Linked DNA regions of Xenopus tropicalis. The protein of the gene in region 1 binds, or shares a complex with, the protein of each later gene. Links are inferred from orthologs where the notes say so. Each region holds a gene or a part of one and is shown on either strand. Other genes may lie near its edges.

Region 1 (4,146 bases):
GTCCGTGGTGAAATCAAGAAGTCACACTATGTCTTATTAGTGATAATGAATATAATCATAATGCTATTTTTAATATTAAATGCTTTGCCCTGCAATTACTCTGTGTATACTTTTGACTCATATAGCCAGATGCCAACGCTTTAGGAAAAAATGCCCCTTTGGTCATTTACAATGAGTTCTACGGGACCAATTTAATCCTGAAGAGCAACAGTTACCAGAACCTCGGACAGAGTTAAAGATATAATGACACCAGAAATGAAAACTTTTTTACATCTATCATAACATTGTCTTTGCATGAGCTTTATAATTTTGCCAAAAAAGTATTTCCTGATGCTTTTCCATTCCTTATCTGATCCCCCATGTTCTTCTATGAGGGGGCTGCCATATTTGTGCAGCAGTAGGCCGTTAGCACTAGAAGCTATAACTGACAGGCTGAGAAGGGACAGTCAGGCTGGCAAAACAGTCAGGTTTAGGAACTTCAAGCAACAATTACATACAAAACCAACCCTAACAGTGAAAAAAGATCAACATGACCTATAGGTAACTTTTTATGTAGATTCATAAATTGAAAAGTCATTTTTTCATGTCAGTATCACTTTAAAGGACAGTGAAAAGCTCATTCACTGGTTAGGCACCCATAATGAATTAAATTGCTAAGGTCCCATTTTCCCAGGCATCACTTTTTGTTTTCATGATCATTCTGCTTTGAGTTCTTACACTTGGGCTTTTCTTCCTGCATTCCCCTGGGTGGATCTTTCATAGGTTCCTCAGGGGGACTGCTGAAAAAACACAGCCCCTTCTTTTAAATGACTTTGTATTCAGGTGCCTCAGTGAGAACAAAGTCATTTGAAAGAAGGAGCTGACTTTTTTCCAGCAGTCCCCTGAGGAACCCATGAAAGATCCACACAGGGGAACACAGGGAGAAGAGCCCTAAGAAAGTCAGAAACTTTCATGAAATTGTATCACATATAAATGATATCCAGCCTGTGACCCCCCCCCAGCTGTTGCTAAAAGGCTGTAGGGGTAGATACCTGTATACAATAAGCTGCAGGTTTACCAATAATAGTTATGTGAGAAAAGGCTATAACACACAATACTGCTTTGATACTGATTATTTATTCTGTATATCTTTACTTGCTGGCAGTACCAAGCATCTGGTGAGTACCACTGCAGGGGTGAAATCTGGCAGCACTGCTAGAAAGATGGCTATGGGAGTTTTAAATTATATGTATTTTTAGTATGTTATAAGGAAACCAAATCTGAATAATGTTTAAATTTGTCTTTATTACTTTTTGTGTATGCTTTCTTATTTATAAGCCTGCCTATTCCCATCATACAACTAAAAATATACTCTGGGTGCCAGAGTGACTGATGCCCAGCAACCACAAACACATACTGTTAGGTTAAGGCCCCATGCGCATGTAAGCACAGACTGATAATCTGCCCATTTGCTTGAAAAATCTTCCAATTGTGCCTGCACCCAGAAGCACTGAATCCACCGGGTGCAGGCACACACAGCCGATATCCACCAAGGGTTGCAAAGTCGCACGTTAGTTGGTGAATATCGCCTGTGTGTGCCTGTACCCGGGTGGATTCAGTGCTTCTAGGTGCTGGCATAAGTAGAAGATTTTTCAAGTGTGCAGGTGGATTGCTGCCTGTGTTTATATGTAGGCTGATCCGCCTCAGGTTCCATTTCCATTCGGTTTACATTCCTATTGCTTATCTTAATTTTCAGTCTCAATCCTATTGATCTTCCCATTATGGCATCCAAATGGCTGCCTGGTTACTAGGGTAACTAAACCTGAAAAAATGGGCAGCTGTTAAAAAAAATAAGATCAGATACAAACTTTCTCAGAACACTGCTGTCTACAACATAATAAAAGTTAATTTTAAGAGGACCTATCCCTGTAATGATGGCACGAGACTTACAGAAAGCGTTGGACACAATTTCTGGTGGGTGCCAAGCCCGGCCTTGGAATGTATGGATTGAGACAAATGCCAGAGGGGCTGCTGTGAGATACTGTAGACAGTCGCTACTTATTGGGCTGGTTACTGGCTTCATTATCTGGCATTCAACAACATGGTGGAAGGCTGTTTGGGCCTTTGTGTAGTTGAAATTCTATTCCAGGCCTGAGTACAACACATTTACATACATGTTTGCATGGGAAAGTGCCATAAGGAAACCTCTGCATAAATGTTCAACTACACAAGACCCAGGGCCCAGACCGGCAATCTGTGGATTGTGGCAAATGCCAGAGGGGCTGCTGTAAGATGCCATAGACACTCACTATTTATTGGGCTGGTGGGGGCTTTGTGTACTCTCCAGCTGTCGCCAAACGACTCCTATGACCATTAGTGCGTTATGGGCATACATGGATACAAACATTAACTATAAACATATCATATACAACCCATTTACAGTGCGAGCAACGTCCCTACCCTTAACTTGTAAGAACCCCCTCCCGCAGGCCGTACAGCCCCAGGCCCAGGCTTACCCATCTTAAGCGGTAGAGTGGCCGACGCAGGAGCTGCTGCTGATCCTGCTGCTTTAGTCTCACACCCGGAAGCGCTGCCAGAAGCTCCACGTCACTCTGTCAGCCAGTCACAGAGCTACAGCACTTATGATTCGGAACGCAAGATTCGACATAAGAAAAAGTAAAATAAAATACACAGTTCTGCTAGGCTTACGGAGTAAAATTAGTAGTCTGAAAATATTTTCTTAGTATATTTGCAAACTGAGAAATGTAGAAATGCCAGGCAGCTCTTTGTTTGTGGTTTGATGAATCTGTTGTCCGTGCGCGTTTGAGCAGTAATTATGGTGCAATCAGAGCTGGTTGTTGAGGCGGTCAGTTACTTGCTGGACTGGTATATCCTGTTGCTAACCCACGATCCAATACTTGTCTATAAAGCAACAAAGGGAATGCAGATTTCCCTGGCTATCGTGGCAGCATTCACTTATGGGTGATCCCTTGGTTTTCCTTTACGGTAGCAGTGGGATGTCCAATTAGAGATATACCGGTATATGACCCGAGTTAAGACATGTAATGGAGAGTTTAGAGTAATGTCAGCATATTGTAAATATCATAAATTGTTTGAATTGATGCAAAAGGAGTATACAGAAATAGGACTAGGGGACTAGGACAAAGTGTTGGAAGAGTAGTGATGAGTGAATCTGCCCTGTTTTGCTTTGCAGAAAAATTTGCGCCTTTCTTGGTGCAAGCACGCCTTTTTGACAAGGCTGCAGAAATGCGGAATTTTGCTGGGAATCCATGCCTGGTGAGAAAATTTGCTCATCATTATTGAAGAGCCAGACAGAAAGATGATCGTCCATTGTTAGGGAACACTGAAAGAGTGATTTGAAAGATATGAGGAAAACCTTGAGAGGGCAGATACGCAAAGACCCAGATAATGGGGGGCCTGAAGGAGAAGGGGTAATCAACAATGTCAAAAGCATATGGGAGATCTAGTGGTATTGAGAAGTGATGAGCTGGTTGTGGTTTCTGATAAAGTTGAATTAAGAACACTGAACACTACTGCTTTTGTGACACAAACAGTATTCTACCCAATTTTCAGGTCCAGTCCACCAAGGTTATTAGGTGACTGATCCTTAGAGGACACAGACTGCTCACAGACAGGATAATCACAGTTAAAGTTCACTTTATTAACTTTTGGTGTGTTATAGATTGACATATTCTAATGGCTCTTTAGTTGGTCTTCATTATTTTGTGAGTTTTTTTCAGTTATCAATCCACCTATTTGCAGCATACAGTAGAAATAGGTGTCTTCTCAACTAAAAAAATATAGTTTTAATTTTGCTTTCCTTTGGGTAATTACAGGAGAAGGAAAGGTGAAAACTAATTAAGCTTTATCAGAAAAGTCTATGTAAATACACAGAGTCCTTTATGAAAAGAAACACAGGATTTCTTCTAGGGCTCTTTACTCAGATATGATAAAGCTTTCTGCAGAATAAATATAGTGTTCTAGGTGGCACTAATGTGGTGAATAAATTGGCAGTAAAATGCCAAAATGACTTTCCTTCTTTAAGCCCTAGCAACGTCTTATATTAACTTTAACCTTGTTAAAGCTAAGGGGACACTGAGCAAATATTAGATCTCAAAAGTGGGCTTAAAGGAACAGTAACACTAA
Region 2 (4,248 bases), on another chromosome or scaffold:
GCCCTAACTCCCTGCTGCCCCCACCCACCCCCCACCCTACTGCCCTACTCCCTGCTGCCCCCACCCACCCACCCACCCACCCTACTGCCCTAACTCCCTGCTGCCCCACCCACCCACCCACCCACCCTACTGCCCTAACTCCCTGCTGCCCCCACCCACCCACCCACCCACCCTACTGCCCTAACTCCCTGCTGCCCCACCCACCCACCCACCCTACTGGCCCCCACCCACCCTACTGCCCCCACCCACCCACCCTACTGCCCTAACTCCCTGCTGCCCCCACCCACCCACCCACCCTACTGCCCCTAACTCCCTGCTGCCCCCACCCACCCACCCACCCTACTGCCCTAAACTCCCTGCTGCCCCCACCCGCCCGGTACCTGACACACACTCTCACACACACTCTCACACTCTCACACACTCACACTCTCACTCACACACACTCACACACACTCACACACACTCACACACACTCACACACACTCACACACACTCACACACACTCACACTCTCACTCACACACACTCACACACTCACTCACACACACTCACACACACACACTCACACTCACACACACTCTCACACACACACACTCACACACTCACACACACTCACACTCTCACACACACTCACACTCACACACTCACACTCACACTCACACACTCACACACTCACACACACTCACACACACTCACACACTCACACACACTCACACACACTCACACACACTCACACTCTCACTCACACACACTCACACACACTCACACACACTCACACACTCACACACACTCACACTCTCACTCACACACACTCACACACTCACTCACACACACTCACACACACACACTCACACTCACACACACACTCACACACACACACTCACACTCACACACACTCTCACACACACTCACACACTCACACACACTCACACTCTCACACACACTCACACTCACACACTCACACTCACACTCACACACTCACACACTCACACACTCACACACACACTCACACACACACACACACACTCACACACTCACACTCACACTCACACACTCACACACTCACACACTCACACACACACTCACACACTCACACACACACACACACACTCACACACACACACTCACACACACACACTCACACACACACTCACACTCACACACTCACACACACTCACACACACACTCACACTCACACACTCACACTCACACACTCACACACACACACATACTCACACTCACATACTCACACTCACACTCACACAGTACCCCGGTACCTGACACACAGACGCCGCTTCCGGTCACATGGGGGGAAGGTCACAGGGAGATAACGCGAGAGGAGGGGGAGTGGCTCAGGCGGATCATGTGACCTTGCTGGAATCACGTGACCGGGGCAGCTGAGAGAGAGAGAGAGAGGGAGGAGCCGCGGTACCGGGTAACACTGGGGGAACTGGAGGGCACCACGAACCGGAAATACCGGGACCCCGGAGACTATGTAAGGCCCAGGGTATCCCCTGTCCTACCCCCCTGTCCTACCCCCCTGTCCTACCCCCCTGTCCTACCCCCCTGTCCTACCCCCCTGTCCCACCCCCCTGGGGCAATCCCTGTCCTACCCCCCTGTCCTACCCCCCTGTCCTACCCCCCTGTCCTACCCCCCTGGGGCAATCCCTGTCCTACCCCCCTGTCCTACCCCCCTGTCCTACCCCCCTGGGGCAATCCCTGTCCTACCCCCCTGTCCTACCCCCCTGTCCTACCCCCCTGGGGCAATCCCTGTCCTACCCCCCTGTCCCACCCCCCTGTCCCACCCCGGAGACTATGTAAGGCCCAGTGTATCCCCTGTCCCACCCCCTCTGTCCCACCCCCTCTGTCCCACCCCCTCTGTCCCACCCCCTGTCCTACCCCCCTCTGTCCCACCCCCCTGTCCTACCCCTGTCCCACCCCCCCTGTCCTACCCCCCCGTCCCACCCCCCTGTCCTACCCCCCCTGTCCCACCCCCCCTGTCCCACCCCCCCCTGTCCTACCCCCCCCTGTCCTACCCCCCCCTGTTCCACCCCCCTGTCCCACCCCCCTGTCCTACCCCTGTCCCACCCCCCCTGTCCCACCCCCCCTGTCCCACCCCCCCTGTCCCACCCCGGAGACTATGTAAGGCCCAGTGTATCCCCTGTCCCACCCCCTCTGTCCCACCCCCTCTGTCCCACCCCCCTGTCCTACCCCTGTCCCACCCCCCCTGTCCTACCCCCCCGTCCCACCCCCCCTGTCCTACCCCCCCTGTCCTACCCCCCCCTGTTCCACCCCCCTGTCCCACCCCCCTGTCCTACCCCTGTCCCACCCCCCCTGTCCCACCCCCCCTGTCCCACCCCCCCTGTCCCACCCCGGAGACTATGTAAGGCCCAGTGTATCCCCTGTCCCACCCCTCTGTCCCACCCCCTCTGTCCCACCCCCCTGTCCTAACCCCTGTCCCACCCCCCCTGTCCTACCCCCCCCGTCCCACCCCCCCCTGTCCTACCCCCCCCTGTCCTACCCCCCCTGTCCCACCCCCCCTGTTCCACCCCCCTGTCCCACCCCCCTGTCCCACCCCCCTGTCCTACCCCCCCTGTCCTACCCCCCCTGTCCTACCCCCCCCTGTCCTACCCCCCGTCCTACCCCCCGTCCTACCCCCCCGTCCTACCCCCCTGTCCTACCCCCCTGTCCTACCCCCCCTGTCCTACCCCCCCTGTCCTACCCCCCCTGTCCCACCTCCTGTCCTACCCCCCTGTCCTACCCCCTGTCCTACCCCCTGTCCCACCTCCTGTCCTACCCCCTGTCCTACCCCCCCTGTCCTACCCCCCCTGTCCTACCCCCCTGTCCTACCCCCCTGTCCTACCCCCCTGTCCTACCCCCCCGTCCTACCCCCCCGTCCTACCCCCCCGTCCTACCCCCCCGTCCTACCCCCCCTGTCCTACCCCCCCTGTCCTACCCCCCCGTCCTACCCCCCCTGTCCTACCCCCCCTGTCCTACCCCCCTGTCCTACCCCCCTGTCCTACCCCCCCCTGTCCTACCCCCCCTGTCCTACCCCCCCCGTCCTACCCCCCCCCGTCCTACCCCCCCCTGTCCTACCCCCCCTGTCCTACCCCCCCCTGTCCTACCCCCCTGTCCTACCCCCCTGTCCTACCCCCCTGTCCTACCCCCCTTGGGCAATCCCTGTCTGTTACTGTCATTGGTACCTACCCCCACCCCGACAATATCTGCCCGGGGTACCTACCCCCCTAACTATAACTGCCCAGGGTATCTACCCCCCTAACTATAACTGCCCGGGGTACCTACCCCCTAACTATAACTGCCCGGGGTACCTACCCCCTAACTATAACTGCCCAGGGTACCTACCCCCCTAACTATAACTGCCCAGGGTACCCACCCCCCTAACTATAACTGCCCAGGGTACCTACCCCCCTAACTATAACTGCCCAGGGTACCTACCCCCCTAACTATAACTGCCCAGGGTACCTACCCCCCTGCGTGTAATCACTGCCAGTACTAATGAATGGTCTGTGTAATGGCCTGTTACTGTCATTGGTACCTACCCCCCCCCCCCCACCCAAAAAAAAATATCTACCCAGGGTACCTGGGACAGACACAGGGAAAGGGACAGACACAGTGACAGTTACACATAACTATAAACCCAGTGAGAATGAGGAATGAATGGATATTGGGGAGTTGTATCAGGAGTCAGAACCAGCAGTGCAGGGAAGGGAAAGGGACAGACACAGTGACAGTTACACATAACTATAAACCCAGTGAGAATGAGGAATGAATGGATATTGGGGAGTTGTATCAGGAGTCAGAACCAGCAGTGCAGGGAAGGGAAAGGGACAGACACAGTGACAGTTACACATAACTATAAACCCAGTGAGAATGAGGGATGAATGGGTATTGGGGAGTTGTATCAGGAGTCAGAACCAGCAGTGCAGGGAAGGGAAAGGGACAGTGACAGTTACACATAACTATAAACCCAGTGAGAATGAGGGATGAATGGATATTGGGGAGTTGTATCAGGAGTCAGAACCAGCAGTGCAGGGAAGGGAAGGGACAGACACAGTGACAGTTACACATAACTATAAACCCAGTGAGAATGAGGAATGAATGGGTATTGGGGAGTTGTATCAGGAGTCAGAACCAGCAGTGCAGGGAAGGGAAAGGGACAGACACAGTGACAGTTACACATAACTATAAACCCAGTGAGAATGAGGGATGAATGGGTATTGGGGAGTTG
Region 3 (3,595 bases), on another chromosome or scaffold:
AAGCCCTGTGTGAAGTGTGGATTATTGGATCATTTGGAAATGTAAAACCAAGTGGTCTTTTTAAATTAATAAATAAAATTTCAATTTATTACATTCCTAACAGCAGTTGTTGTCAAAGTTTTAAATGGTTTTCGTTTGATACTAATTTGGATGTTTTCATTGTTGACAGAGGATTCTTGACCTTGAGAGTTCTGTTGCTGAAGAAAGTAAGTCCCAAGATTTTGTAAGCCTGATTGAAACAGAGAGAAATAATCACAATGCAGAAGTAGCTACCATCAAAGAAATGCATAAGCAAGATCTTGATGTCCTTGTACAGGATCAAGAAAGGATATGGTCAGAAAAGCTTGAGCTGCTTAAGAAAGAGAATCATACTAAGATTATTGAACTTAAAGAGAAGTATCAGCGAGATTATGATTCTCACTTGAAAGAGAAAGAGCATAATTTCCAGGAGCATATTGAGCATATGAATGAAAAAACATTAGAAAAACTAGATGTAAAACAAACTGAATTGGAAACCCTCTCAGCTGAACTGTCTGAGGCTATAAAGGCACGGCAAGAGATTGAGCAGAAACTTACAGACACAGAAAATGAGATTAGCAAAATAAAACTAGAGTATGAAGCCCAGATAAAAGAAGAAAGAGAAAAACACAGTGAAGAAATTGGTTCCATTGAAAGAGAGAAGGAAATGCATACTCAGGGTGTTGAGAAAGACTTGAAGGAAAATATTAACAACCTAAAACTACTTCAAGATAGTAAAGAATGTGAGTTGGAAGAATTCAGAAAGGAAAATCAAAAGCTAAAAGAAGCTGCTGAAAAGGCAGAAGCAGACCATAAAGAAGCATTTGCTCTATTGGAAGCAGCCAGGCATTCTCATGAGATAAATACACATGAGAAAGAACAGGCTTATGAGCTAAAATTGAAGGAGCTTCAGGAGATGCTAAAAGGTATGACGCAGGAGCGAAACGATCTTAAAGAGGTGACAGAAAAAGCAGAAACACAGTTAAAGAATATGCAGATCGAGCTGGATTCTAACAAGGCCCAAGTACAAAGCCTTACAAAGCAAATTCATGAGGAAAGTATGAATATGGCAGATAAACTTAACACTTTGGTACTAGAGTCTGAAACTCAGGTAAAAGGGTTGAAGGAACAAATAGAAGAGATAAGCAGAATAGCTTCAGAGCGTGAACATGAACTTAAAAAAGTAAAAGAAGATCATATTCAAATTATTTTAGACCTAAACAATACTATATCTGAAAAAGAGAAGAATATACTTTCTTTGCAAGAAGATTACAAAGTAAAACACAAAAATCTGGATGCTAAAATGGAAAAATTAAAGCAGAAGTTTAAAGAGCTGCAAGAATCATCTAAAAAGAAATATTCAGAGTTGGAAAGCAAACTTAAGAAAGAGATCGAGAAGAAGCAGAACGAGTTGATTAACAAAGAAAGGGAGTTTAATGAAAAAATACATGAGATGGCCCAAGCAAGTTCAACTGGAATTAATCATGCAATGGCTCAGCTTGAACTGAATCATAAAGAGCAGATTCAGAATATGACAGACAATCATCAGAGAGAATTACAGGAAACAACAGAAGCTTGTGAAAAGAAATTAAGCCAACTTGCTGAAGACCTTAGAGAGAAGCACGAAGAAGAACTTCAGGAGAAAGATCAGGTCATAGCAGAATCAAGAAAACAGTTTAATATCAAGAATAAAGAAAAAGAAGATGCAGACAAAGAGATATCAGACCTCAGGGAACTGAAGACCCAAATGGATGCCACGTTTAATGATTTGCAAGAACAGCTGTGTCAGTCAGCAGCTCAAGTTTTACATTTGACACAGAGTGAAAATGAATTCAAGACAAATTGTACTCGGCTAACAACGGAGAAGCAAATTCTTCAACAACAGCTTGATGAACTGAAAATATTAGCAGAGGAAGATAAAAGCAAGAATGATGAAATAGTTAACAAGGTGAGACTTGCTGAAGAAAAGTATCAAGACTTGGAGACCCTGCACAATAAAGTGAGAGCAGACTTTGCTAAGGAACTGCAGGATAAACTTGTTGAAAAGGAAAATGAGTTTAAACACCTTTTGGTTAAACAAGAAAACCAGTTGATCTTGTGCTGCAAAAATGCTGAAGATTTATTTGAAACACTTGCAAATGGACTCACTGAAAACCACAAATATAAGTTGAATGGATTGATTGTTAAAATAGCAAATCTTGAAAGCTGCATGCATAAACTAAAAGAGGTCACTTTAAAACAGCGTAGTAGAATATATGAACAAGAAAAACAACTTGAGCAGTTTTCAAACGAACTTCTTTCAGTAAACCAATCTCTTAATCAAGCAACTCAGGAGAAAGAATTTGCTACTTTGTCGCTAAAGAATGAGATTGAAGCTCTTAATTTTCAAAATGAGATGTTAAAAAAAGAAGGAGGAAGTCAACAGCAGGTTGCAGATGAGAAAGAATCTTGCATTACTCAGCTGAAAAAAGAACTTTCAGAGAATATAAATATTGTGACTTCCTTGACAGAAGTGGTAAAACAGAAAGAATCTGAGGTATCTTCTCTTTCTGCCTTAATTAATGAACTTAAACTGAAACATGAGAATTGTGTAGATTTAACAGAAAAAGAAAATGCAATTGCTTTTCTCACTGCACAGCAGAAACAGAGTCAGCAAGAGCTACAGAATCAAATTCAGGATCTAATGGCAAAGATTGAGGTTCTGAATAAAGAAAAATCTGCACAAATAGATGAGGCTGCTAAACTTAAAAATAAGTTGGATGAATGGAAGAAAAAGGCAGAACTTAAATTTGTGCAGAACCACAACACTATTAAAGAGCTAAAAGAGAAAGTTGAATCAGTCAATAAGCAAATTGTTGAAAAAGATGAAAAACTTAGGACAGTGACAGAAGAATTTGAATGTCATCGTAGCAATATCCAAGAAACACAACTCATGAGTGAAAGCAAAGAATTTGAATTAACTACCCAGTTGGAAGGCCAGAAATCTAAAATTTCGGAATTGGAGGACCAGTGTTCGAAGCTGATGTCTGAAAAGAAAAGTTTGATGGATCAAATCGAAATTCAAACTATTCAGCAGAGTGAAGATAAGAAAGCACTGGTTGAGCAACTCCAGCATATTCAGTATGCTTCTGACAATAACTCCAAGGAAGTGCAAAATAAAGTTATAACACTTGAAAAAGAAATTGATGCTTTAAAGGAGAAACTTGATGCAGAGCAAACAAAATGGCAGCTGGAGAAAGCAGAGTGCTTTCAGCTGAAAGATAAGGAATTAAAAATATTGGAAGAGAAACTAACTGCAGAAAGCACAAATAAACTTTCAGAGCTCAAGAAAAAAGCTGAACAGAAAATCGCTTCTCTTAAGAAACAACTTATGTCTCAGATAGATGAGAAGGAGCAGTCCAGGAAAGCGCTGGAAAGCCAGCTAAATGTCTTAAAAGATAATATGCAGAAAGAGAGCCAGGAAGTGCAGGAAGGATTGCAACAAAAAGTTGAAAATCAAGACAAAAAATATGCATTGCTACTGGAGCAGAAGAAAAATACAGAAGCAGATTTAGCTAATATTAGAAGTGAACTAAAA

What was found.
Region 2: the proteins of arl1 (region 1) and arfip2 are in contact, whole or in part, in a crystal structure (PDB 4DCN), measured with the Homo sapiens proteins. The link is inferred for Xenopus tropicalis from reciprocal best matches to the Homo sapiens genes ARL1 and ARFIP2. Residues at the interface, in NP_001168.1 of Homo sapiens: Glu17, Arg19, Gln38, Ile46, Ile49, Gly50, Phe51, Asn52, Val53, Glu54, Thr55, Gln64, Trp66, Ile74, Tyr77, Cys80, Tyr81; in NP_001363487.1 of Homo sapiens: Phe205, Thr212, Lys216, Thr217, Asp220, Asp278, Ile281, Lys282, Phe285, Leu286, Glu288, Asn289, Lys292.
Region 3: the proteins of arl1 (region 1) and golga4 are in contact, whole or in part, in a crystal structure (PDB 1UPT), measured with the Homo sapiens proteins. The link is inferred for Xenopus tropicalis from reciprocal best matches to the Homo sapiens genes ARL1 and GOLGA4. Residues at the interface, in NP_001168.1 of Homo sapiens: Ile49, Gly50, Phe51, Gln64, Trp66, Ser73, Ile74, Pro76, Tyr77, Cys80, Tyr81, Ser83, Glu115; in NP_002069.2 of Homo sapiens: Thr2173, Glu2174, Glu2176, Tyr2177, Lys2180, Val2181, Glu2184, Glu2190, Thr2193, Lys2196, Val2197, Thr2200, Val2201.

What each region holds. Positions count from the first base shown.
Region 1 is NC_030679.2:48,817,177-48,821,322, forward strand, and holds the start of arl1 (ADP-ribosylation factor-like protein 1), read right to left. Parts: upstream 2,843-4,146; 5' UTR 2,500-2,842; coding exon 2,496-2,499; intron 1-2,495. UniProt on the Homo sapiens protein: GTP-binding protein that recruits several effectors, such as golgins, arfaptins and Arf-GEFs to the trans-Golgi network, and modulates their functions at the Golgi complex.
Region 2 is NC_030678.2:180,359,169-180,363,416, reverse strand, and holds the start of arfip2 (arfaptin-2), read left to right. Parts: upstream 1-1,392; 5' UTR 1,393-1,492; coding exon 1,493-1,494; intron 1,495-4,248. UniProt on the Homo sapiens protein: Plays a role in constitutive metalloproteinase (MMP) secretion from the trans Golgi network. May have important functions during vesicle biogenesis at certain cargo subdomains, which could be predominantly utilized by secreted MMPs, such as MMP7 and MMP2.
Region 3 is NC_030682.2:60,987,836-60,991,430, forward strand, and holds part of golga4 (golgin subfamily A member 4), read left to right. Parts: intron 1-169; coding exon 170-3,595. UniProt on the Homo sapiens protein: Involved in vesicular trafficking at the Golgi apparatus level. May play a role in delivery of transport vesicles containing GPI-linked proteins from the trans-Golgi network through its interaction with MACF1. Involved in endosome-to-Golgi trafficking.